7 linked regions of the Macaca fascicularis genome follow. The protein of the gene in region 1 purifies or fractionates together with the protein of each later gene. This does not show direct contact. Links are inferred from orthologs where the notes say so. Each region holds a gene or a part of one and is shown in the gene's direction. Other genes may lie near its edges. The genes, in order: SAP30, BRMS1, HDAC1, ING2, ARID4A, ING1 and BRMS1L.

The links.
Region 2: the proteins of SAP30 (region 1) and BRMS1 purify together in Homo sapiens (affinity purification with mass spectrometry; 3 studies listed by BioGRID and IntAct, with this or other methods). This does not show direct contact. The link is inferred for Macaca fascicularis from reciprocal best matches to the Homo sapiens genes SAP30 and BRMS1.
Region 3: the proteins of SAP30 (region 1) and HDAC1 purify together in Homo sapiens (affinity purification with mass spectrometry; 19 studies listed by BioGRID and IntAct, counting the BioPlex papers as one, with this or other methods). This does not show direct contact. The link is inferred for Macaca fascicularis from reciprocal best matches to the Homo sapiens genes SAP30 and HDAC1.
Region 4: the proteins of SAP30 (region 1) and ING2 purify together in Homo sapiens (affinity purification with mass spectrometry; 3 studies listed by BioGRID and IntAct, counting the BioPlex papers as one, with this or other methods). This does not show direct contact. The link is inferred for Macaca fascicularis from reciprocal best matches to the Homo sapiens genes SAP30 and ING2.
Region 5: the proteins of SAP30 (region 1) and ARID4A purify together in Homo sapiens (affinity purification with mass spectrometry; 5 studies listed by BioGRID and IntAct, with this or other methods). This does not show direct contact. The link is inferred for Macaca fascicularis from reciprocal best matches to the Homo sapiens genes SAP30 and ARID4A.
Region 6: the proteins of SAP30 (region 1) and ING1 purify together in Homo sapiens (affinity purification with mass spectrometry; 6 studies listed by BioGRID and IntAct, with this or other methods). This does not show direct contact. The link is inferred for Macaca fascicularis from reciprocal best matches to the Homo sapiens genes SAP30 and ING1.
Region 7: the proteins of SAP30 (region 1) and BRMS1L purify together in Homo sapiens (affinity purification with mass spectrometry; 4 studies listed by BioGRID and IntAct, with this or other methods). This does not show direct contact. The link is inferred for Macaca fascicularis from reciprocal best matches to the Homo sapiens genes SAP30 and BRMS1L.

Annotation. Positions count from the first base shown.
Region 1 is NC_088379.1:178,114,134-178,118,231, forward strand, and holds the start of SAP30 (histone deacetylase complex subunit SAP30), read left to right. Parts: upstream 1-1,298; 5' UTR 1,299-1,540; coding exon 1,541-1,855; intron 1,856-3,728; coding exon 3,729-3,854; intron 3,855-4,098. UniProt on the Homo sapiens protein: Involved in the functional recruitment of the Sin3-histone deacetylase complex (HDAC) to a specific subset of N-CoR corepressor complexes. Capable of transcription repression by N-CoR.
Region 2 is NC_088388.1:8,063,357-8,066,234, forward strand, and holds the end of BRMS1 (breast cancer metastasis-suppressor 1), read left to right. Parts: exon of another isoform or gene 1-550; intron 551-860; coding exon of another isoform or gene 861-921; coding exon 922-986; intron 987-1,430; coding exon 1,431-1,470; intron 1,471-1,828; coding exon 1,829-1,836; 3' UTR 1,837-2,378; downstream 2,379-2,878. UniProt on the Homo sapiens protein: Transcriptional repressor. Down-regulates transcription activation by NF-kappa-B by promoting the deacetylation of RELA at 'Lys-310'. Promotes HDAC1 binding to promoter regions.
Region 3 is NC_088375.1:202,688,324-202,691,775, reverse strand, and holds the end of HDAC1 (histone deacetylase 1), read left to right. Parts: coding exon 1-16; intron 17-97; coding exon 98-238; intron 239-805; coding exon 806-914; intron 915-1,007; coding exon 1,008-1,138; intron 1,139-1,417; coding exon 1,418-1,570; intron 1,571-2,028; coding exon 2,029-2,077; intron 2,078-2,346; coding exon 2,347-2,374; 3' UTR 2,375-2,952; downstream 2,953-3,452. UniProt on the Homo sapiens protein: Histone deacetylase that catalyzes the deacetylation of lysine residues on the N-terminal part of the core histones (H2A, H2B, H3 and H4).
Region 4 is NC_088379.1:188,295,656-188,299,840, forward strand, and holds the start of ING2 (inhibitor of growth protein 2), read left to right. Parts: upstream 1-1,385; 5' UTR 1,386-1,542; coding exon 1,543-1,714; intron 1,715-2,563; exon of another isoform or gene 2,564-3,359; coding exon of another isoform or gene 3,360-3,366; intron 3,367-4,185. UniProt on the Homo sapiens protein: Seems to be involved in p53/TP53 activation and p53/TP53-dependent apoptotic pathways, probably by enhancing acetylation of p53/TP53. Component of a mSin3A-like corepressor complex, which is probably involved in deacetylation of nucleosomal histones.
Region 5 is NC_088381.1:126,146,077-126,150,302, forward strand, and holds the start of ARID4A (AT-rich interactive domain-containing protein 4A), read left to right. Parts: upstream 1-1,426; 5' UTR 1,427-1,601; intron 1,602-2,092; exon of another isoform or gene 2,093-2,589; intron 2,590-2,693; 5' UTR 2,694-2,750; coding exon 2,751-2,756; intron 2,757-4,226.
Region 6 is NC_088391.1:101,291,382-101,295,522, forward strand, and holds the start of ING1 (inhibitor of growth protein 1), read left to right. Parts: upstream 1-1,341; 5' UTR 1,342-1,360; coding exon 1,361-1,508; exon of another isoform or gene 1,509-2,002; intron 2,003-4,141. UniProt on the Homo sapiens protein: Cooperates with p53/TP53 in the negative regulatory pathway of cell growth by modulating p53-dependent transcriptional activation. Implicated as a tumor suppressor gene.
Region 7 is NC_088381.1:103,694,360-103,696,820, forward strand, and holds the end of BRMS1L (breast cancer metastasis-suppressor 1-like protein), read left to right. Parts: intron 1-330; coding exon 331-448; 3' UTR 449-1,961; downstream 1,962-2,461. UniProt on the Homo sapiens protein: Involved in the histone deacetylase (HDAC1)-dependent transcriptional repression activity. When overexpressed in lung cancer cell line that lacks p53/TP53 expression, inhibits cell growth.

The DNA of each region.
Region 1 (4,098 bases):
CAAAAGAAAAAACAATTATTTATCACTAAATTTACTTACTAAAAGAACTTGCAAAACAAAACCCTACTGCCTAAAATATATTTTAAAACGTATTTGTGTTTAAGCAGCGTATATCTTCTGATAAATAATGACGCGTTTTAACTAGTAAAGGCGCAGCTTTCGTGTTAGCCACGCCCATCCCTCGCCCCGCCCTCCACGAGCACCTCCCCCCGCATGCACGCACGGACATACACGCGTACGCGGGCACACACACGTACACACGCGCGCGCCCGCGAACACATACATATAAGCAAGAGCGCACAAACGCGGGCAGCATCCAGGAGCGCACGCGCCTGCCAGGTCTCAGGAAATGCGCTTTCTACTCCCCGCGCCGGTAGAGCTAATGCAGGGAAGTTTCTGGGAACAGTCGAGCAGCGTTTGTATTGGTGAGGTTCCAAGTCTCCTTTAAAATGATACGACTCCGCCCTTCTCCAAAACCGTTTGAGGAGAAATGGAAAAGGTTGGGCGTGGAGGTGAAAAGGAGCCCTGTTGTCAGCTGGTCCGTACTCCACCTCAGGAGGCGGCCAACTCCGTGCGTCCAAGAATAAAAACATTTCCCTTGTAGGAACATGCAAGGGTTTAGAAACGCCCCCCCGCCCCCCGCGAGGCGTTTGTGAGGGGGACCTGTCACAGTTGAGAAGTCAGGATGGGCGTTTTCCTCCCAGGAGGTGCCCTACTAATTTGCTGCCTCGATAGTTGGTCAAGCCGGGATGTTAGCTGCGGAACCTCCAGGACCGAAGAGCGCCAATTCTCCTGAGTTCTCCTTGGTTTGGGTTTCCCACAAAAGCGCGGTCACACCAAAAGCTGTGTTTCCACAAATGCGAAACGGCCTCGAAACTTTTTTTTCCGCACACGCTCACTTCCCACACCACTCCCATCCCTTTATGTTTCGCCTCAGGAATCGAGTAACTTCTCTGAAACCCAATTCTACGAAATCCCAGCAGCTAAACACAGCCCGACTTCCCTAGAGACAGAGAGAGAGAAAACACTGTAAACCCCAATCACACGCTCCTGTTTTCCCGGTACTGAAAAAAAAAAAAAAAGTGGGTCCGTGGCCGCGCTATGCATGCTAGGATTAGTAGTTCCTCCATCTCTCAGGGCGAAGGGTCAGGGCGGAGCTCAGGTTGACTCCGTAGCAGACAACTACAATTCCCATGGGGCCGCGCGTTTGAAAGAAAGGGGCGGGACGGGAGGGGGCGCGTCGCGCTTGCGCAGTCCCCGGGGCCGGAGGGAGGCGGAGGCGTAGCGGTCCAACTGCTGAAGTCCCCATGTGACAGTGAGCGGGGTCCCGGCTCCAGAAGACGCTAGAGTCTGCGTCCGGGCCCTCAGCACTGTCCACTGTTCCGGGGCCAGCAGAGACCAGCAGGCCCGGGACGGTTGGTGTTTGACCGTGCCGCTAACTTGGTGTACAGAGTGAATTGCCGCTGCCGGAGCGGAGAGAGGCGGAGCGGCCAGGAGAGAGGGGATTTCTGTCAGCGCCGGCGCTCGGGAGCTCGGAGACATGAACGGCTTCACGCCTGACGAGATGAGCCGCGGCGGAGATGCGGCCGCTGCAGTGGCCGCCGTAGTCGCTGCCGCGGCCGCCGCCGCCTCCGCGGGGAACGGGACTGGCGCGGGCGCCGGGGCTGAGGTGCCGGGCGCGGGGACGGTCTCAGTGGCTGGGCCCCCGGGGGCGGCCGGGCCGGGCCCAGGGCAACTGTGCTGCCTGCGGGAGGATGGTGAGCGCTGCGGCCGGGCGGCAGGCAACGCCAGCTTCAGCAAGAGGATCCAGAAGAGCATCTCCCAGAAGAAGGTGAAGATCGAGCTGGATAAGAGCGTAAGTAACCGCGGGATCGCCCTGCCCTCCTGTCCCTTGGTGGGGCCCCAGGAGTCGGGCAAAGGCACGGATTGTCGGCGGGGTCTCCCAGACCTGGCTGCAGTGCGGTCTCGTGGAGTCTGTGTTTGGAAGCAAATAACAAAGTCGCTGCAACTCCGACCGCCACCCCAACACACACACAACACGCACGCTGTCGTTCCCCTTTTCTTTCCCACCCTGCCCCCAGCCTCCCGCTGCCTGCGACTCTCCCGCGCACTGTCTTCCCTCTTCCTTCTCCTCTGCGACCAGGACACGAAACAAAGGGGACCGCCGGACCGAGGGCCCAGAGTAGTTTTCTTGCAGCCCGGCAGCTCTTCTGGAATGGAGGCGCCTTTGTTTCGCTGCCCAAGCTGGTGTTTGGCCCCAGGCGGTGCTAACTCCCCTGGTCTAGGGAAAAGTGGAGGACCTTCGCGATCAAGGAAGATCCTGTTCCTTTCTGTGCTCCGTCTCCTCCGGAGCGGAGTGAGAGGGAAGCCGAGCTCGCCCGCCGCCTGGCAGTGAGCCGGGGCTGTAAACGGCGTTTGCGCTGTCAGCTCCGAGGGCAGCTGCTCCGATGGTGGGGAGCACGTAGCCTCTGCGGTTTTGCCATCCCCTTGGCAGCCATCAGGATTTCTTTTTTCCTCCTCCTGCGCGTCTTTTCGTTTGACCATCTAACAGCCGTTGCCACTTTTGGGAGATCTGGCTAGCGGTAAATGAATAACATGGTATCAAGAACCTACCACAAGTCCTGCGTATTTTTATCTTGCGCTTGGCTTCGAAGTAAATGTAAAAGCCTGTTAGCTCAGTCCGTATTTGTTTCAAATGTTAGTCTCCAGTTCGCAGGAGTGTGTGTAATTAAAGTTTTTGAAAAGTTTATTTGTGATACTTTTTTGCCCGTTTAAACAGTTTTCAGTGTTATCCGTGAGAAACTTTTCAGGTGAACTTGCATAATTTCAGATTGCTTTGGGAAAATGTGTTATAAATAAATACATTGATTTAATTTAATATTCAGAAAAGTTGATAACTGAAATTTAAATATAGTTATGAAGTCGATAGCTCATTTGTAAAAACGGATGGTTTTGTATCCGGAATATAATTTGGGCATTCAGTTGGAAAGACTGGAAAGCATACATTATGTTACAAAAATATGCTCTTCTTTAAGTAGAGAAAGTACTGTCAAGTAGCAAAAGTGGGCAGCATCATCTTTCCCCTTAACAGTTAAAAATTCAACATGAACTAATTCATGTCATCCTCACTGCTATTTATTTATTTATTTATTTATTTATTTATGTGAGACAAAGTCTCACTCTGTTGCCCAGGCTGGAGTGCAGTGGCGCGATCTCAGCTCACTGCAACCTCCACCCACCAGGTTCAAGTGATTCTCCTGCGGTAGCCTCCTGAGTAGCTAGGATTACAGACTAGTGCCACCACGCCCGCCCAATTTTTTGTATTTTTAGTAGAGACGGGATTTCACCATTTTGGCCAGGCTTGTGTGGAACTCCTGAGCTCAAGAGGTGCTGGGATTACAGGCGTGAGCCACCGCGCCCGGCCCCTCACTGCAATTTGATGACAAAACCCAGAGGGTTGGAATTTCTCATTCTCCTCTCCCTCCCTCCCTTCACCCCTTCCCCAAATGGAACCAACCCCTCCTTCCCCATCCACCATCCTTTTAACAGTATTCCAGACTTCTTATGTTTTAACAGGGTTTAGGATTTAAATGTATAAATATTTCATTGTGTTAACAATGGCCATCTTGACTGTCTTTATTTTTACTATCTGTGGCATATGTGTTTTCCTAATACATAGACACATTTTACTGTAATCATTAGCAGTGTGTGAAACTTTTCTGTTTCAGGCAAGGCATCTTTACATATGTGATTATCATAAAAACTTAATTCAGAGTGTTCGAAACAGAAGAAAGAGAAAAGGGAGTGATGATGATGGAGGTGATTCACCTGTTCAAGATATTGATACCCCAGAGGTAAATGGAAGTTTTTTATGCTTAATATAAATCCTAAGTAGTGCATTCTGAAACCTTTATAAAAAGATATGAACAATCTTTTAAGTGTTTAAAACATTTGAGAAATCTGAAAATGAAAGCAAAATTAAATATAGCCAGTTGTCATGCATTTACACAGTTTGAATTGTTACATTTTAAATTGACAATTTTTGCGGCTCTGTTGTCACATAACTTACTCTTTTTTGACCTCAGTTTATATTATTAA
Region 2 (2,878 bases), on another chromosome or scaffold:
AAGAGAATTGCTTGAGCCTGAGAGATCAAGGCTGCAGCGAGCCATGATGTGCCACTGCACTCGAGCCTGAGTGAGGTTTGGCCTTTGAGGACTTTCCATCTCCTGGGGTTGTCTGAGCGGGTCCCCAGCTCTCCCTGGGGAGCCTTTGCTCATATCCCACCCTCCTCTTGGAAGTCCTGCCTGTCCTGACTGTCCAGGGCTCATGTCAAACGTTACCTCCTCTGTGAGGCCTCTCCGGTCTTACTCCAGTGCCTATGGCTTCACTCTCCTGTGTGTTCCTGTGCCCTACCATGGGGTGCCCACATCCCAGAGGGCACCAGCTGCCTCCGCCCCTCCCTAGGCAGGGTTAGCTTAAGCTTAGTCCAGGGCCTGCTGTGCTTTCATCTGTCCTGGCAGAGCTGAGTCCTCCTGTGCCCCTGAGGGCATTCCTGCAGCAGCCAGCCTTAGTCATTATGGCCACCTGGTGCTGGAGAGCAGGCCCAGGCAGGGAGGGAGGAATCTGGAAGGCCGTGACTTGAGCGAATGAGAGGTGAAGGCATGGAGACATCAGGTAGGGAGCACTGTGGGGAAGGGGAGTTGTCTCTGAAGGGAGAAGCCCTGCGTCTGTCTTTGGATCGGGGAAGGGGCCAGGTCAGGGCTGTGCTGCAGGGTGAGATGGGATGGGCCTCAGCCAGCTGACCTCAAGACGAGGTGAGGGTGAGCAAGGGATGGGGAACAACACTTGGTGTCCTCCATGGACTTGGTTCCAGGAGGACCCTGGAACTGGGGGGAGAAGAGGTAGGAGGTGGAACCTGAGCTCGGACCCAGATCCTCAGCTCCCACTTCATGCTGTCTGCTGTACCCCCACTCCTGAATGTCAGGTGGGTGGCCCTGCCCTCGTCACCTGCCGCCTCCACTGGGCTTCCTTGACCCCCACCACAGGCCCATACATCGTGTACATGCTTCAAGAGATCGACATCCTGGAGGACTGGACGGCCATCAAAAAGGTGGGGCCGCTGCTGCCCATGTGCCCTGCCCCACCTCAGGGCCCCCCACCCTGGCAGCAGCTCTGCCATCTGCAGGCCTGGGAGTTCTCTGCTCACCAAGGCTCCCCCATCTTCAGCCCAGGGTCCCTGGATCGCAGTTGGCTCACAAGTCCTCTTGCTCAAGGCGGCCCTGGGAGAAGGGATTTCTAGTCTGTGTCAGCCCCTTCCTGTTCCAGGGCAGGTTTTGATGGGGTGGGAGGGGGGAGGGGGGCAGGGAGGCGGGAGAGCCGTTGAGCTGGCCAGCGGTCAGGAGCATGGGAGCTCTGGCTTGGGGGGCCCTATGTTCCTGGCCCTGGGGGCATAGCACTAAGGCAGCAGCCCACACGCCACAGAGGTGGGAGGTGGGGCAGGGATTGCCAGGCTGTAGGTGGGCTCTCAGGGGGGCTTTTCTTCTCATCCACCCAGGCTAGGGCAGCTGTGTCCCCTCAGAAGAGAAAATCGGATGGTAAGAACTATGGCTGTTGTACGGCCTCCCCTGCCCGCCTTGCCATCACCTTCCCTCAGCTCAGCCTCCAGGAAGGAGCCCAGAGAGAGGCTGTGGCTGTGTCAGAATCAGTGGCCCAAGAAAGTTAGGATGGTCTAGATTTGAGGGGCTTGTGGGAGTTTGAGGAGCAGGAACCAGGATGGGGCTGGGGAAGCCTGGGTTGATGGAGCTCCCACTCAGGAGGGGTCAGGGAGGGCCGTGGAGCTGCCCAGGAGGCCTGTCCTGGGCCAGCCCAAAGTCACTCCGCTCAGTAAGTGGCTGCCCCCCTCCTTTCAGCTTCCTCACTGGTGACAGTTTTCTCCTTCCCACATACGCACAGGACCGTGACCCTGCTGTTCAGAGCCAGGGGGACCCTCAGAGCAGCTGGCACCGCACCCAGGATTCTCATCTTCCTGCTGCAGACAGGCAGACCCACAGGCCCCTCAGGGTCTGCCCAGCCAGGCTCCTGTGGTGCTGCTGGGCCCTCCCACTCCGCTGGCACTGGCCTGGACTCCTCCTCTGCCCTCCTCGAGGCCTGCACAGCTGTGGCTGTGGAGCCGACCTGGCCAGGCAAGGCTGCTGTCTCCATCCCTGAGCCGCCTGCCACCTCCCGCTCCTGAAGATCCGCCTCTTGGGGCTCCCCTGACAGAGAAGACAGCTGAAGTCAAAGCCACATCCTCTTGCTGACCTTGGATGCAGGCTCTCCGGCCTCAGGGCCAGGGAGCCAGGCCCCACTGTGCAGGAACTCTGAGTCAGACGTGATATCTAGGGGGGCTGTCCACCCTGGCTGGGGCTGGAGGCGAGATGCCAGGCCCCCCAGGTTTTCTCAGGGCAGTTCTTGGTGTCTGCCTCTCAGATTTCAAGGACTAGAATTAAAACCTTTCCTGGGATTCTGGTGTGCCCCGTGTATGTGTGATTTACCTTGCAAGAGAATCAGGGCTTCTGTGGGGAGCACCTGAACCAGGCTGACTTCTGAGGTGCCTGCAGATTGCCACTCCTTGCACTGCCCAGCAGAGGCTGGAGCACTGTGCGTGGGGCCACACTGGGGAGGGGGAGGTGGGCGCTGGGCTGCCTGGCACTGGGCAGAGAACATATGGCGCCAGCGGAGTGCCTCGGGTGGGGAGGATGGGTGCGTGTGCTTGAAGCCTGGGTCATGTCTGCACCTGTCCCAGTTGCCTGGCAGATTGGCAAGGCAGGCTGGCAGAGCCTGCATGCGTAGGAGGCAGCCGGCAGCAGCACCATGTGCTAACGACCTCACAGCCAGACTCCCCCTGGTTAGTGCTGAGTGTCAGAACCACCCCCAGAACCTCAGTTAAGCAAATAGGTTGGTTTCCATGGAGACGTGGCATATTTTCTCCATGGCAACCTAAAATCCTAAAACCCATGTTCA
Region 3 (3,452 bases), on another chromosome or scaffold:
AATCTAACCATCAAAGGTGAGACCAGGTAGCACAAGGATGGGTGGGCGGGGTCCTGCTTGGTGCTCCTGTAACTCAGCACCCCTTCTCCCACCAAAGGGCACGCCAAGTGTGTGGAATTTGTCAAGAGCTTTAACCTGCCTATGCTGATGCTGGGAGGTGGTGGTTACACCATTCGTAATGTTGCCCGGTGCTGGACATACGAGACAGCTGTGGCCCTGGATACGGAGATCCCTAATGGTAATAGCTGCAGGGCCAGGTTTGGCTGGGCTGGGTGGGAGCTGGAGCTCATCTGTCCTTAAGTTTATAACCCCTTCCCCGTTGGTCATATGACCACTGTTCTTCTGATACTAGTCACTGAGTCCCCTGCATGTCCTCTTGTGATCAGCAGACCATAACCATCACTTTTTCCCTAGTCCTTTTTAGCTCTGTCCCCTCTCCCTTCTGCTTTTGGTCTGGACAAAGTTCTCAGTGGTAATTTACAGCTTTGGAATTTCTGCTCTGTAGAGTAACTGGAGTAGTGAGTGAAGGGAGCGTTCATAATGAGCATGGGCTCAAGTGTCCTAAACCAGGAACATGGACCTTCTCCTAGCGACATATACACCACTGGTATAGACATAGAGTGATGTTAACAAGATGGAAATCCCATAGGTACCCGTGTCTCACCGTGTCTTGGAGGCATTCTCCTCTGTTTGACAGATGGATCAAGGGCCCAGAGAAACCTACAAATGCTTTAGGGTGCTTACGTGCAAATGGTTCAGGTGCGGTGGCCAGGTCTCTTAACGGTCTTCTCCCTGCCCCAATCAGAGCTTCCATACAACGACTACTTTGAATACTTTGGACCGGATTTCAAGCTCCACATCAGTCCTTCCAATATGACTAACCAGAACACGAATGAGTACCTGGAGAAGATCAAGTGAGTATATCCTCCAGCCACCCCTTGGTTGAACATTCCTGACTTTGGTTTGTCCCTGACCAGAGCCCTGCTACTCTCTCCCACTGGCCACAGACAGCGGCTGTTTGAGAACCTTAGAATGCTGCCGCATGCACCTGGGGTCCAAATGCAGGCGATTCCTGAGGACGCCATCCCTGAGGAGAGTGGCGATGAGGACGAAGAAGACCCTGACAAGCGCATCTCGAGTAAGACCTAGACGCAGAGCCCTATGCCTTCCACTCAGTAGGCAGCCCCCACTTCCACCACCATTCCTGGCTGCACACTCTCCAAGCTCCCCACCTTGGAGAAATCTGTTTCCAGTTCCAGTGCCTGTAGGAACAGGTTAGGGAGCCTGAGCTCCTCCCTCTTCTCTGGTTCCCTTTCCCTTGGTGTCTCTTGGAGGGCCTGCAGGGAAGCACTGGGCATAGATGCTGAGCTAGATCGGCACCCGCCTGCTCTCACCCATGCTTCCCACTCCCTCCCAGTCTGCTCCTCCGACAAACGAATTGCCTGTGAGGAAGAGTTCTCCGATTCTGAAGAGGAGGGAGAGGGGGGCCGCAAGAACTCTTCCAACTTCAAAAAAGCCAAGAGAGTCAAAACAGAGGATGAAAAAGAGAAAGACCCAGAGGAGAAGAAAGGTGGGTTTGGGTTCAGCCGGGACTTGGGTCTTGAGCCTGAGAGGATGAATCTATGTAGGGCAGTGGGAGGAGGGAGTGACTCAGGCCCTGCCAGCTCCTGTGGGGCTCTTCCTCAGTTCCTTGAGCCTTTCAGTGTCTCCCAGAAGTGGCAGGGCCCACAAAACAACGAACCTCTACTGGCCAAGCACGGCTCTCACATACCACCCAAGCCCTTTTCCCAGCACTGCACCCCAGTTTCCCAGGGGGCTGCCTCCGCCCACCAGATTCTGGCTGTAGCAGGCTGGGAAACCGGTCCAACCTGTTCTCTACAGGGCTCACTGGGAAGACCAGGGATGGGCTTTTCTCTCTTTTATGTCCAGTGAGCGTAGTGTTGGGGAAGGGGTCTCAGGGTAAATGAAGACCTCACGGGTCTTTCCAGAGGTGCTGCCCTTAGCCATCCCTGTACTCTTGTGTTCTAGAAGTCACAGAAGAGGAGAAAACCAAGGAGGAAAAGCCAGAAGCCAAAGGGTGAGGAACGAGCTGCCTGCAGCCATCTCCCTGGCATTGGAGCACCAGCCCCTTTGTCCCACTACTCTGAAGAAAGGCACAGGGACAGCTGGTCCAGCTTACAAAGGCCTCTTTCAGGGACCAGTCTGTCCAGCTCTGCAGTTCTAGGCAGAGCTAGGAGCCCCAGCCCCCAGTAGTCACCTGGGATCCTGTGGAAGTCACTGTGTCTGCACTTTTGCCCCGAGGCTCTGGGCTGGGTCATCTCATGCCAGTCTCTGCTCTCTCCACAGGGTCAAGGAGGAGGTCAAGTTGGCCTGAACAGACCTCTCCAGCTCTGGCTCCCTGCTGAGTCCCTCACCTTTCTCCCCCAACCCCTCAGATTTTATATTTTCTATTTCTCTGTGTATTTATATAAAAATTTATTAAATATAAATATCCCCAGGGACAGAAACCAAGGCCCTGAGCCCAGGGCAGCTGTGCTGGGTGAACTCTTCCAGGGGCCACGTTGCCACCCATTCTTCCCCAGTTCTTAACCTTGAACCATAAAGGGTGCCAGGTCTGGGTCAAAGGGATGCTTTTATGCAACCGTAAGACAAAATCCTGAAATGCGAAGTGCCTGCTTAGTAGCTTTGGAAAGGTGCCCTTATTGAATATTCTAGAAGGGGTGGCTGGGTCTTCAAGGATCTCCTGTTCTTTTCAGGCTCCTAAGGTAACATCAGCCATTTTTAGATTGGTTCTGTTTTCATACCTTCCCACTGGCCTCAAGTGAGCCAAGAAACACTGCCTGCCCCGTCTTCTCCTAATTCTGCAGGTGGAGGTTGCTAGTCTAGTTTCCTTTTTGAGATACTATTTTCATTTTTGTGAGCCTCTTTGTAATAAAATGGTACATTTCTATATCCTCCTGAGCTTGTTTCCTACGTGTCATTGGGTTGGTTTCAACTCTTACTTCCCTGCCCTTCTGGTGTCCATGAGTATTGGGGCAACCCCCTGAACAAGAAAACCCCATAAACTTACCTGCCTGCCTTAACTCCTCCCTTGAGGTTTGAGGTGAACTACTTTCCACCAATCTTCTCACCCTACCCCCAGAAGACCACTCATTAAAGCACCACTAAAGGGACGACATTTATTCCTTTTCCAAATGTTACAGTAAAACCAGGTGGAAGAGAATGGTTTTAGCAGTTAGAAAAAAAAAAAAAGTACAAATCTGGGGTTTGGCCATTAAAAGTTATTTACAACAATGGGAGAAAAAAAGACAACAAGAAGTTGTTTCACATTACAGACCTCCCCCCACCCCAAAGCCTAATACTTGCTTACCAAGTCAAAAAAGAGACACAGTTGATTCACAAGCTGGAGGTTTGAACTTGAGTAAGACATTTATAAAAACCTAGACGGGGCA
Region 4 (4,185 bases), about 10 Mb from region 1:
TAACTCAAAGGTAGTACTCACAATAGGGCTTGTTTACATAGGCATTCCATTAAAATTCTCCATGCATTCATTCTATTTGCACCCATTTCTTTCAAAAAAGTCCATATGAAATTAAAATCAGTTCCTCTGCTTGGCATCTCGTTTACACTACACCGAAATTAAACCCCACTAGGAGATCACGTAGATTACGGGGCCGAGGGCCCGCCCGCTGACTAGGTTTTTACTCGCGTCTGCATGCCCCAGGTCCCCTCCGATTGTAGTCCTGGGGCAGGACCAAGCAAAAAGTCCCGTAAAGCTGGCGTGTGCCCCACTCCGCCAGGAAGCCCCGCCGACGTCCTGTGTTTAAATGTTCTGACACACCCCAAACGCAGTTGTTTTTAAAGGCTGTCTGTGGGACCTATGTGTTGGCAGGCAGATGCCGTCCCGCATCCCTTCCCCCTAAATGACATAGAAGATTCCAGCGCAGGGGAAGGGCCACGAAACCCGCAGGGCACACGACGCCGGGGGCCGGAGGAAGCACCGCCTACCTCCCCGATCAGCCCCACGGTGCCGGACGAGCCCGAGGGCCCGGCAGGAGGAGGGCGGCAGCCCCAGGCGAGCTCGGAGGCGGCGGGAACGCCTTGCCGCGCATGCCGGGAGCCGCCCGCCGCCTGCCGCCCGCTGCCCGCCGGGACGCGCAGTCCTGCAGGCCTCGCTCCGGGTCGTCCGAAAAAAAGGAACCGCCTGCTGCTCCTTTGCAGGGGCGCGAGGAGCCGCACTCGGACCGCCGGATGGGTAAAAAGCCGGTGTGGCCGGGCGGAGCTGCCCCTCCCCGCGGGGAGGGCGGCCGGAAGGACCGAGCCGCCTCCCCTGCCGGGTCCCATTCAGACGCGGGGCGCAGAGACTGGCTCCCCAGGCTTCCCCTTTAAGGGGGGCGGGGCGCGGCCTGCCGTTTGGCCGCCCCCGACACCCTCCCCCCCTAGCCCGGAGCCGGCAGACCAATCGCCCGGGCGGCAAAGCGAAGGCGGGAGAATGCGAACCCTCCGGTAGGCGGTAGGGGCGGGCCCCGGCCTTATTGGGATCGAGCGCTGCGCAGGCGCAGAGGCGGCCGCGGGCGGAGGGGCGGGGGCAGGCCAGCGGGAGGCTCCCCGTCAGGCACGGAGGGTGACTGGGGACAGGCAGGCGGCGACGGGCTTGTCATGGGGATCCGGGCTGCGAGACGGCACTGGTAGCATCTGGGGACTCCGAGGGGGACAGGAAGTGTCAGCGTCCGGGACCCCGGCGCCGGCCCCGCTGAGGGGATCCCCACTGCTCCGGTCCTGGAGCGGGAGGGGAGAAAGGAGGGAGCCCCAGTTTCGCCCCGCCCCTGGGCTGGTGCTGCGGGGGCGGGGAGTGAGGGCTGCTCTGGGGGGAGTGGAGATCGGGGAGCGCGGCCGTGCCCTCTCGAGCGGCTGCGGGGTCCCCGCGGCGCCGGGCTGCTGAGCTGAGGGACCGCGGCGGCCGCGGCCGGTGCATGTGCGGCTGCTGGATGCGGAGGCGGCGGCGACGGCGCGCATCGGCAGGATGTTAGGGCAGCAGCAGCAGCAACTGTACTCGTCGGCCGCGCTCCTGACCGGGGAGCGGAGCCGGCTGCTCACCTGCTACGTGCAGGACTACCTTGAGTGCGTGGAGTCGCTGCCCCACGACATGCAGAGGAACGTGTCTGTGCTGCGAGAGCTGGACAACAAATATCAAGGTAGGGGCCGCGGGGCTGCCGGCCTCGGGAGCCGGTGGCAGGGAGCCTGCCGGGGCAGTGCCACCTTCCCTTTCTCCCGTGACAGTCTCCCCGAGCCCACCGAGGGTCTGCCGAGCGGGACGGGGAGGACTGGAGACTGGGTTCGCGGCCCTCCTTGCCCCGCGGTGGGCGAGTACTTCTCTGGGGTCCCCGGAGTGGGGGTGGGGGCTGTTCGTCAGCCCCCGCTGCAGACCCAGCGGCTGCAGCTGCCGCGGAGGGGAATCAGCCATTTTAAGCAGCAAGCATTTGTTCAGGCGCTCGCCTGCCCCGTGCCGCAGACCCTGCCGCCCCGGCCCAGGACTGCAGCCGGGCAAGGGCCAGAGGGAGTGAGCGGCCGGGCTCCCGCTGGTCTGCGGGGCGCACTTCCCCACCTCACTCGCCCCCACCCCGGAGTGCGGGTGCTTTGGAACGTGCGGGAGGGAGGGGGCGAGAGGCCGCGGAGGCAGATTGAGGGGGCCTTCCTCCGCGCTCCTACCCCGGCCGGGAGGAGAGCAGTCCGTTCCGCTCTTTTGCCCCGGGAAAGTTCTCGGCCGCCCCGAGCCGCAGCCCTAGCCCAGCTCTTTCGGCAAAATGGTTAAGAGGGGAGGGGTCCCCCGCGGGAGAGGAAGAGAGGGGCGTGTGTGGCGGGGAGGGCCCCCGCGCCGGGGGCGGGGCCTGCGGGTGTGACGTGGGAGTGGGAGGGGCGCGGCGCGCGTTCCCGCGGGCCTGGAAAATGGCTGGTTGCGAGAGGGGCGGCGGCGAGCCGGCTGCTGGGGAGGGAGTCGAGGCTGTGCGAGGGCGTTGGTTCGGCCCCAGCGGAGTCCGAGTCGGGGTTTGCAGCATGTTTTGCGGTGATGTTTCCAATCTCTTTCCCAACCAATGGATCAGGACGGAGATTAGCAGCTCAGAGGGTCTCGGACCCTGGCTCCGCGTAGGTTCCGGGACATGTGTCACTTCCGGGCTTCAGGAGGAAGTGGGTTGGTTGACTGGGCAACCGCCTGGCGTCCCCAAGCCCCTCCTTCTCCGACTTTTAAGTGTTAAGGCGAAACCACCCTTTACGGGCCGACCCGGGAAGCCGGGACAGAATCCGACCTTCCTTACAGTGTTATCACCTACTATCGGTGGTGCTACTAGGAGGGCAGTTTAAAAGGGGAAATGTGTTGCGCTTAATAACCTTGAATCGAGGAACAGACCTTGAACATAGTATGGAAACAGCCATATGAACTTTAAAGATAATTTCCTGGACCCATTCTCTGTTTTTGTTAACACGTCAGTAATCCTGTAGTTTAAAAGTCTCTAAAGGAATCCACTTCTTGGGTGACATAAGTGTCTCTGATTTTTTTTAGTTGATAAATTTGTGTTTTCTGAATCCATGGGATTCATAGGACTGATCCGCGTTTGGGGGAGGGGTGGGGGGGAGGGAATTCAAACTGATGCGCTGAGTCCAGACCATTATATAAATATTTCTTTTACAGATTAGAAAGAGTTTAAGTAACTCGTCCAGTTAATTAGATGTAGAATATTTGGCTCCAGCTCCTGCAACTTTAGATGCATATCCTTGTTTTCAAACAATTTAAATTTTAATAAAAACTGTCCAAGGGGATTTCTGCAGATATGGAGCACAAACATGAATGGTAACCTAAAAATGATACGTGCTTAATAATTGTATATTGAACCTTTCTAGTTTTTCAAATAACACTAAAGTTTGTAAAGTTTGCAGTTGCTGTTGTTGTTGTTGTTGCTTCAGACAGAGTCTTGCTCTGTCCCCTAGGCTGGAGTACAGTGGCTGGATCTTGGCTCACTACAACCTCTGCCTCCCGGGTTCAAACGATTCTCCTGCCTCAGCCTCCCGAGTAGCTGGGATTACAGGCACCTGCCATCACGCCCCTCTAAGTTTTGTATTTTTAGTAGATACGGAGTTTCACTATGTTGGCCAGGCTGGTCTTGAACTCCTGACCTCAGGTGATCCGCCCGCCTCTGCCCCACAAAGTGCTGGGATTACAGGCGTGAGCCACCGCACCCAGCAAGCTTGCAGGTTTTTACATTTCTTTGAAGACACGTTTCCTTTCACAAGAGTTAAGCTATTTGAAGTTGGTAAGGGATACTATAATTTGTTGACAGGGAAATCTGCTTTCGGATCATCTATAATTGTGATGTATTAATAGCTCTGGTAAGATTAGTAATATAGTAGGCCTTACAGGACTAAGAGATTATAAAAATTCTTAGCTCCATGAAGATTGTGATCAATGATTAAAAACTCATCCAGTTTTCACTCTTTGCGCATGGTTACTGAGCTCAACTTTCAGTTTTATGTTTATATATATTTTGTGTTTTGGGTTCAGATTTCATGTTTTTTATTTCTTCACTAGTGCTTAAGTCTTTTCTGGTTTTGGATCTAATATTTCTAGCAATATTTAGTGATATAAATCATATAGGCAGTCAAATAAATTTCT
Region 5 (4,226 bases), on another chromosome or scaffold:
ATGCCTTTCACTTTTTTATGAATACTTTTGAGCAAAATCACTGTTACGAATAAAAAACTGATTCTGCTTAGTTGTTTTCTTACTGAGAAATCTTAGTCCACGTGGATTACGGACGCTATGTCACATTTAAAAAATTACTCCATTCTATAAAACAACTAGCCAATTTATACTCCAATTCCACTATTTAAAAATATGTTTCGTTTAACAGAATACAAAATGTTAACAGAACAAGACCAACGTCTATCTTATCGGGGACGTCCTTTTAAGATGTTTTCAGTCCCTGCACAACCAATCTTTCCTTTCAAAAAGCAGCATAAGCCTCGCGCAGAGGGACACAGACGCTTGTCTAAGGTCACAGAAGCACCGTCTGTGCTGGCAAGTAAATTCCTCAGCATCCAAAAAGCCAGCGCTTTCTCCAGTTTCCTCATAGCTTTTTCGCGTGAGGAGCACGCGGAAACCTCTACCCATGCAGAATGTTTCCAAGAATCACTTCTGACCTGTCTTAACTAAGGAGACTCCCATAGTTTGTGCCAATCAGGTGGAGAATATGGCAAGTATCCAAAATGCACTTCCAAAGACAGGAAAGACTGCTCAGACAGAGGCAGAATTCAGAAAATCTCTCACATTCTCGAAAGCCCGAAAAAGCACCGCCAAGAAAGACTTTTGCCTCTCCTCCACCTCTTTCTCTCGGCGGGAGAGGAAGCCTCGCCCCCATTCATCCCGCCCCTTCTCCCCACCTCGCCGCAGGGAGAACTTTTACCATGGCTTCCTGCGGCCCCTTCACTTCCGGTGCCGGTGCCGCTAGGGCTGCGCCATCCCCCCCAGTCAATCGGACAACCATAGCCTCCAACTGACCTTTCTGACAGCTCTGAGACTCCTCCGGCCAAGACTAGGTGCTGTCCTGGAGGAAACGGTGGAGGACGGACGCACAAAAACCAATCTACCTGATGAAAACTCCGTTCCCTTCTTGCCAGAAACATAAAATGCGATGGAGCTACGGCGACCGCTGCCGAGACAAAATGGCGCCGAGAACCTGGTTTAGCGCAGGCGCCTTGGAAAGACCCTGCCCCGCCCCCGTGCAAGCCCCTGGCTGCAATTCTGGGTTCCGTTTCCATGGGACACTCCGCCGCCAATCCTCGTGCCGAACTGCTCTTCCTGACCCCTCAATTCACCAATCAGTGCCCAGTCAAGCACATCCGGAGTCGTCTCTACCAATCATTTCTCAAGACTTGCTTACTCAATAACCAACTCTCCAATAACGTTGGTCTTCGGAAAAAGCCAATCATAAGTGGAAGATGTCCTACCTGCTGTTTTTCGCACCAATCCATGAAGTTTCAGAGCTACATCCAATGAGGACGGCAGGTAGCGAGGTCCTATCCGAAGCTCTTCGGCGTCATGAACAGCCAATAGGAGTTCGTGTAGAAGCGAGTCTGCTCAACAGCTTGTTATTCGGTGGATTGTGGCAGTAAATCGGGGCGAGTGGGGAACCGGGCGCAGGAACTGCAGCCGCGGTTGGGAGTGGTGCTGCCCGGACGGGGGCCCACGGAGGTCAGAGGGGAGGAGGACTCTGGAGCTGACAGTGCGCACTTCACCCGCAGTTGGTAGGCGGGGAGAGGGGAATCGGGGGATACTGAATGGATGAAGCGGCAGTGGCAGCAGCTGCTGCTGCCCGGGGTCCCGGTGCAGTTGGAAGCTTCGGAGGTGGGGAGAGGGATGCTAGGCAAGTGGCGCGGCGAGCGCAAGAGAAGGGGCCAGCCATGGAGCAGCGGCAGCAACTGCAGGAACCGCCGCCGCAGCTGCAGCCGCCTCGTCCGCTTCCCCGGGTTCCCGGGAAAATGGCTGTGGGGCTGGCCGCGCCGCTAAGTTTGCTTCCGCGCCGTGAGGAGCGGGCTGCTTGGGGGAGCCGTTCCCCAACTCCGCGGCGCGTCCACCTCTGCGGAGTCCGTGGCAGGACTCGAGGGGCTGCGAGCTGATACGTCTCTGGGCTGTACAAAAAGTTGAGGCGGGCGCTGGGAGGAGGCAGCGGCTGCTGCGGTGCGGCTCCCCTCCCCTCCCACACCCTGTCCGGGCCACCTCCCCTCCTCCTCCCCTCAGTCCCCCGCCCCCTCCCCCGCGCGGGTCTCCCGGGGCTCTGGCGGCTCCCGGCTGAAGGCCGCGGCCCCTGCCCCTTTGGGTGAAGGAGCGCTTCTCCTTCCTGACATGGTGCAGAGCAAAGGAAGGAGAGCAATGGCGCCGTGACACTCCGCTGCCGCCACCGCGGGCCCGGGGCGGGCCGAGGGGGCCGAGCAGCGGAGGCGGGGCGCGGGCCGAAGTCGGGGTATCCAGGGGACAGCGGTGCGGAGGCCCGGCGGTCGCCTCCGCGGGGGACCTGGGGAAGCCCGAACGGCGCCCTGCCCTTTTCCGGAGCTATCTGTCCTGGGGCTCCGAGTTCAGCATTCCGGGTCAAAGTGGCCAGCGAGGCGGGGGCGCGGTGGGCCTCTGGCAAGCTCCGGGGCGGAACGGGCTGCCCTTTGGCGCGCGTGGGGTTCTTGTTGCCCCCTCCGCTCCTGCATCCTGGCTGCCCTCAGAAGGGGTCTTGTTCCTTGGCTGGTGAGGATTCTGCCCCTCCCCGCTGGCGTTTGTTTACTTTCTTTCCCTTGGTCGCTCCCCGCAGTTGACTGATTCTGTCTGTGCCTCTTTCCCCCTCCCCGTAGTTCTAGCGACTGCGACGATAGCTCGCTGAGCTGGAACCCCACAGATCACCAACAAAAATGAAGGTAAGTGGAGTCAACGCTGCCCCGATCCTCGCGCCTTGGACACTGCCAGTCGTAAGGCTAGTGCCGTGGAATGTCATTTGTTTTGCTCCTCAAAATTGATGTTCCTACTGATCAGCAGTTTCGGCATAGGAGGATGTGTTGAATGGGTGAGAAATGATCTGTGTGTCTAAATGCGGAGTTTGGGCCCTCTCTGTGGCAGTACTTTGGAAAGGCTGGTGCAGCCTTTCAATTGTTGTCCATTCGGATAGTATTTTTAAACACTTCCTGTGTTGGCAGCAACCTTTGCAGAAGTAAAGCTTTTGTCCTGCTTTGGTTCTTTGGGGGATTTTTCGAAAATTTTTTTCTTCCTCAGTGCCAATGCGATTTTGTAAAAGAAAGAGTACGTGGATTAAGTAATTAAGTAAAGAAGGTGTCATTTCTTCTGTGTGTAAAGTGAACTTATGTGGCTAAAATATTTGAAGTTGAACTATAATAATAGTTTCAGTTAAATCTTTCCAGTAAATATTTTAAAACATATACTTATTCTAAAAAGATACATATTCTACTGAGGATGACTGCAAATATCAATATGTGGATGGTTAAAGGGAAAGGATCTCATATAGCATTCTTGAATGCTGTGGCCATTGAATGTTTCAGGTCAGATTTTTATTTGCCAAAAGCATTCCTATTCAATTTGTATTTTTTGTAAACGTTCTTAAAAGGTAGCCAATTCCTGTCTTATTTACTGTTTCAGTATATTAAGCTCTGAAATATAGCATTTTCCCAAACTTTCTCATGGTTTTCTATTTTCTCCAAGTAAATGACATATTTAACATTCTTTAATATTACTTGGGAAAACTTATTAGAAAACAAAAAATCATTTTCTACTTAAAAACGTATCTCCAAAGTGTACACTGTTAACTTTGCACTTAACAATGTTAAGTTGAACTTGTATGGATACACTTTAACTTCTGAAAAAAAAAAAGGTAAAATGACAGATTGAGATAGCAATCATCCTGTTACTGTAAAGATTAAAATGAATGGTAGAGTGAAATTTCTTGCATCATTCTATGTATCATTCTGGTCATGTCCATTTGCTGAAAGTAGATGTTTCTTAGTAACGCTTGTTTTTTTATACTAAGAAGATCAGTGTGGTAAACTAGGTATGTCTACAGGTCTTGAACCATCGGTTCATATCTGCATTCATCAGCTGAATTCAGACTTAAAACCTTTCAAATGCAGCTTTTAGCAAATGAATTTTCCAAATTGATACTCTCCTTATGAAAAGATGTTACCTTTACGTACCTTTGTCAATAAACAATTATATATTGTTAGTGTTAATATTAGTAGCAATATTTATTTTAATTAATTTGCAAAATTTCAGGAAGCTATAAATGAATAACTTAGTTTTATGATATGTGTAATATGAAATATTTTTTCTGATTTTTTTATTTTTCTGCTTATATAAATAGAATTTTTGAAAAATTTTGT
Region 6 (4,141 bases), on another chromosome or scaffold:
AGGAAGGAGGCGCGAGAGGTCTCGCTGCAAGGCTGCGCGACCAAAGCGCTCTTTGTAGTGAAGTGATGAGGCGGGTGCTGCGGGGGAGGGGGCGGCGGGTCCAAGCCGCGTCCTCTAGGAGGGGGTGCAGATTACGGCGCGAGATGGAGGGATGTGCCGGCGCCTGGGGCTGTAGGACGCCGAGATGTGGCTGCAGGAGGAGGGCGGCTGTGGGCCGGGGTTCCCGCGGACCCGGTGCCTCGGTCCGGAGCAACGCCGCTCCCCTGGCCCTTCTTCGCCGCCCCCCACCCAGTCCCCAATCCGAGTGTTACATAAAGTACCGGGTAGTACTCCGTTCGGGGTAGCTCGGTCGCCCCCGCCCAGTCCCCTCCGGCCCTCACTTGGCACTGGACACCGAGTAAGGGCCGACTGCGAGGGGCGACGCCGCCGGTTGTAGTTTGCGGAGGACGAGGGTTTTTCTCTGTGTGCCGTGGGGAAGGGAAGGGGAGGAGCGGAGGCGGGGAAGGCGCCCATCTGCGCAGCGCTGCGCTCGGGGGGGCGCGGGCAGATCGCTGGGTTGGAGAGGATTGTGGCAGATGAGAGGACCTGTGGGTCGTTCTCTGCAGATCTGGCCGCCCAGGGTGTCAGAGAGAGGTGGCGAGTTCGTGTCCGCCGGGAATTGTTGGCTGTTGGGGAAAGTTTTCTGCGAGGTCAGTCAAGGCTTTGGGGGCTCTGTTTTGAATGTGGATCACCACTCCGAGTTTACTAATGTTTACAAAGCTACGCAGTAGGGAAACGGAAGAGTTAGGTGGGGGCAAAAAAAAATCCATCGCCATGCCCGAAAGCACCAGATACCCCTACCGGGAAGGCGCCCCTGCGCGCTCTATCCAAGACGTAGCTTCGCAGCTGCTTTTATAGGAATCTCATTAGCATACTGTGGAACGTCCCGCCTCAGCCTTCCGGTGGTTGGCTGTGACGTCCTTCGTGGAATGTCCTTATCATTCCCCTGCGGAACGATTGGTCGCTGAGGCGGATGAAGGCGGGTGTAGCGCAATAACTGGCATGGGTCTGTGTTTCCGCTGTCTTCTTTTTTCTTTTTCGGGGAGGAGCGGGGTGGAGTGTGGTTGATTTGAACGTCTTCGGGTCGCTCGGCCTCCAGCCTCGGATTGGGCCTTGTCGCTGCTGGGGCGGGCTGTGCTCTTCCGCCTTGCGGTGTGGTTGGTTCTCCTCCTGGCCTCCGCCCTCCAAATCGGCGATTCCCATATGCGGCGGCTCTCGGGGGGCGCGGCGAGTCTCCCGCTGGCCTCCTCCCCATTGGCTGGAGGGCCGGCTGGTGTCGCCCAGGCCCCCACTCAGCACTGCCACTTTTGGGCGCGGAGTTATGGCAGTAGCGGGGACCCCAGGGCTGGGGGCTCGGGGCCGGGGCTGCAGTTCGGGCCGCCTCCCGCGACCCGCGAGACCGGCCCGCAGACAGTCCCAGGCCGCATCTTTGCTGACCCGAGGGAGGGGCCGCGCGTGGCCGGGGAAACGTGAGTGACTGGGGCTGCGTCCACGAGCGGGACCCTCGGCGCGGGAACTTTCCTGGAAGGTGCTGTCCTCGGGGCGGGCGGGCTCCGTGGAGTGACCCTGGGGCTCCGGACGGAAGGGAGGCAGGGGCTGAGACCACTCTGATCGTTCAACGATAGAAAAAAGCGCGGGGCGGGGTGCAGGGTCCCAGCCGTCAAGACAGCAAAGTTCACGGAGCCACTTTGTTCTCCTGTCGTTGCTGGGGAGAGCCTGGCTTGCTGCTTGCTTCAGGTTCACCTAGGATGATGAACTTTTTGGCTTCAGGAAAGATCACAGTCCCGCGCCTGCGGGAGTACTGGAGCCGTGCAACTGGTAGCGCTGAGAAGCGCGAGAATCTGTCGCAAGGGTCACAGCTCCTTGGACTTCGCTGTAAATGCTGAGCTCTGCTGCGTAGTTCTGAAAGACGAAGCTTGTTTTCACAGATCTACTCTACAGGAAGTCAGACGTCTTTTGCTTAGTAGGCATCGGTTGTCTGTTAATTCGTAAACATGGATTATAATTAGTTTATCGATTTAAAATGGTGTTTGAGATTGCTTGAATTATTTTTCAAACATTATTATAAAAATACCTACCCACCCCCTGGGAAGTCCGCTTCATAAAGAATTTCAGGGCAACCCTTACGTAAAATTAAAATACATTTAAAATAATTGGACAAACCAATTTCAATGTTGCTACAATCTCATTTAATCTGTAAATTCCATGTGTTGCTGCTTTCCATGGTAATGTTGGTGTGGAGTATGTTTGGAAGAAAGGTAGCAGTGTGTCTGAAGCTGAGTTGCTGGCATTCAAGGAGCAGAGTGTCTGGAAGGATGGCTTCCTATTTCGCAGTGGTGGTGTTCCTGTCTATAAATATTTGTACTTAGTGGTTTTGTTGATAAAATACTTTGTTTGGGGTATCAAAGAACTATTAGGTAACAGAAATACTTCTTGGTAATTTTGCAATGGGATATCTGTTTCTCTTCCCCACAAATTAGGCTTCGTCTGGATGGAAGCTTGCTTGTGATGCCAAATAACCTCTGTGTTATTAAATTTTAAATTTATATGATGGTTTTCTTTTCCATCAAATGACAATACTGTCTTTAGAACTTTGATTACTGATGAAAAGAAGTGATACCATTTTATAAGCCTAAATCCATTTAAAAATAAATGGTACACACTCATATTTTAACATCTATGATAAATAAGTTGGATAAATTGGTATTACTTGGATACGTTGAACACAGCTATTTATTTTTATAATTAGTGACTATTTGAGACTAGGGCATTCCTCCTGGTGGCAGGCAGCCTGCATTGTTCCTCTAGGAAATGTCTTCAGAGCTGTCTTTAGCTTGAGAATATACTCTGGAAAATAATACCATTTAGAGAAGCTTCAGCGTTGGCCCAACTTCTTATGTTTACTCTAGTGTTAGGTATATATCTTATAACTATTTGGAGATAAGATCTGGAAAGGGAGGGGGTACCATTTTAGACAATCCCTCCCACTCCCAGCCCCTCCCCATACACTTCCTAGTTTACAAGTAGTATTGTTGGCCTGGCACGGTGGCTCACTCCTGTAATCCCAGCACTTTCCGAAGCTGAGGCAGGCGGATCACGAGGTCGAGAGTTGGGAGACCAGCCTGACCAACATGGAGAAAACCCTGTCTACTGAAAATACTGGGCGTGGTGTTGCATGCCTGTAATCCCAGCTACTCGGGAGGCTGAGGCAGGAGAATCGCTTGAACCTGGGAGGCCAAGGTTGCAGTGAGCCGAGATCGCGCCATTGCACTCCAGCCTGGGCAACAAGAGCAAAACTCCGTCTCAACAAAAAAAGTAGTATTGTTGCCTTGTTTAAAGAGACTGCAAAAAGGTTTTAGGAGAATAATCTGGTACTGTTTAATTTAATGGTTATTGTTTGAGGAAAAAGAGCTCTGGAATTTCTTTGTGAGTAGCCTTTTGGCAAGACTGTTTACTGCCCTTATTTCAACTAGATTTTTTTTTTTTTTTTTTTTTTTTTTTTTTTGAGGCGGAGTCTCGCTCTGTCGCCCAGGCTGGAGTGCAGTGGCGCGATCTCGGCTCACTGCAAGCTCCGCCTCCCGGGTTCCCGCCATTCTCCTGCCTCAGCCTCCCGAGTAGCTGGGACTACAGGCGCCGCCACCACGCCCGGCTAATTTTTTTTGTATTTTTAGTGGAGACGGGGTTTCATTGTGTTAGCCAGGATGGTCTCGATCTCCTGACCTCGTGATCCGCCCGTCTCGGCCTCCCAAAGTGCTGGGATTACAGGCTTGAGCCACCGCGCCCGGCCTCAACTAGACTTTTTTAACAGCTTTTGTTTCTTGAGAAATTGCCTAATTACACTTTAAAATCATATGCACTGTCCTCTAACATGCCCAAGAAGTTTTATATTTAAATACTGAAGAGGTTTTCTTTTCTTTTTGATGGCATTTTAAAGTCCATTGACTTTAATAGATGTGAAGATGTTTTTGTTTAAGCAGTAGATGCAAAAGTAAAATCTACCAGCTTTGTTTTAAAGCAAGGCTAGTACATTCACTGCAGTTAAAAAATAATAATAATGACCCATTACAGTTGTGCTCCTGTAGTCCTAGCTACTCAGGAGGCT
Region 7 (2,461 bases), on another chromosome or scaffold:
ATACCAGATAAGTAGTGCTTTTAACTCCAGTTTTGTTTTGTTTTTTTAAGAGGTGGGGTGGGGATGGAGTAGGAAGAACGTGCTTTTAATAGTGCTAATAGTAAATTTTACCAACTCTATTAAGAAAAGAAGGATGATCTACTAAGTATTGCTGAATGTGATATTTTTGGCAGCATGCACTGCTGATATGCAGCATTCTGGTAAACGACAATTATGTACCAGAGTCTACTGTTGTAGGCCAGTTTATTTTGGTTTTATATAGGTAATAATCTAAAATGAATTGAGGAGACATATTGTAATTCATTCATTCATTCTTTTTTTTCTTTTTAGTGCTGTAATTACAACAATTAACCATGATGAAGTTTGGTTTAAGAGGCCTGATGGAAGCAAATCTAAGCTTTACATTTCACAGCTACAGAAAGGAAAATATTCAATTAAACATTCATAATCATGATTTAAGTGTTATCTAAATTTACCTTATTAGTGTTACCAAATGTAATGTGCCATGAGAGTAAAAAAAATGTATTCAATAACTTAATATTCTCACTGAATCATGAGAGAATGTGTATTTGTAGGTAGTACTCTAAGTAGATCTCATTGATATGTTATTAAAAGAAACAGTAATAAAAATTTTATCATGATCCTTACGTTGATTTGCCTCTTAGGTCTGATGACCAACAGATATACTGTATATGTTAGGGGTTTCTTTCTAAAGATTTTTCTTTGGTTTTTAAAAAAGTTATGCAAATTTGTTTTATCTTTAGTAAACTATGACTACATTTATCTGCAATTTTAAAAATTTTCCATATCTTTGTCATTCATTGTGTGTTTGTAAATAAGGTCTATAAAATGTTTCCTATAAATGGTTTGTACTAGTACATTAGTGTTAAATCAGAACTGAAATTTAAACATATATATATGAGTATATATATATATGTGTATATATGAGGATGTATATATGGCATCATCAGCTTATTTAGAACTGATGGCCGTACCTTACAATCTTGTTTTACCCAAAATTAAGCTATTGGGTTTGAAAGCTAAAAGGAGCACTTTTGTAGAATAGCAACTTTTCTTTTCCTCTTCCTTAATTGTATGGTGGGGCGATGACCTATTTTTACAAATTATACGTAATGAGTAAAATTAGCGTAAAGTGATCACATGCTTCTACCTGTATTTCTAGTGGCCCTTTAGAGGCAGGTATTTATACCTGGTATTTATGATGCAGTATATAAGTGGTGAACAATAACTGACAGTATTGTGCTTGCTGTACACGTCTGGTCTTTTGAAACAGATTTTAGTAAGCATTTTCCAGAGGTAAAACTGTGTCCTATTCTAATTTTATTCCTAGGGCAAAGTAGACAGGGATTATTTCCTTGAATCTGTTTCCAAATTAATATTTTTATCTTTGGTATTTCTACACTTTAAGGCCATTTGGTGCAATTTAGAAAGTGTTGGCCTCCCTTCCCTTAGCCACATTCAAAATTAACTTCCAAAACCTCAGGAACAGTACAAAGAATTAAAACCCTCGATATGGCAGCACAGCCGGCTGTAGTATATATTTAGGGTACACCAAATCGAGTATTCTTGGTGGTCTTGTGCACTTTAATTTCTGTTACAATAAGAGTTAAGAGGATGAGGAAGAAATCTACTCATTAACACTTACTGCAGAAATATCTGTGTTATTCCGTTTGTTTTCTTATTATTTTACCTCTCCAAACATCTTCCTGTGCAGATCACTACTTCATAGTTACCAAATTTTAAAACACTTAACTTCTGAAATTCAGTGTCAGCAAAGTGATATTACATTGTTCTGTTTCTAACTAACATTAGCAAATGTACATAATGTCATAACCCAATAGTATTTGACAGTACTTATGTATACAATGTTTGATAAGCATTTTTAATAAGATTTGTATTTTTAAATTTAGTATATAATAAAAAGATGTGTTTGAGTGTGATTTGTAGTGTCTTGGATTACTTATGTGTATTTAGTTCTTTTTATAACCTATCCACTTCTAAGAAAGATTTGAATTGGTTTACGTTAATAGATATGGGGTGGCCTGGGTGCAGTGGCTCATACCTGTAATCCTAGCACTTTCTGTGGTATATTTAGATCTTCAAGACAGCTAAGTTATACTTAATTTTAAAATATATGCATATATATTGTATTTTGATTAAAAGGTACAGTGTAAGTTATGAAATTCTAAATAGAAAATCTTTGTTTTTTTATTTTTATTTTTATTTTTGGAGATGGAGTCTCACTCTGTCACCCAGGCTGGAGTGCAGTGGCACAATCTTGGCTCACTGCAACCTCCACCTCCCGGGCTCAAGCGATTCTCCTGCTTCAGCCTCCTGAGTAGCTGGGATTCCAGGTGCGTGCCACTGTGCCTAGCTAATTTGTGTATTTTTAGTAGAGTCGGGGTTTCGCCATGTTGGCCAGGCTGGTCTCAAACTCCTG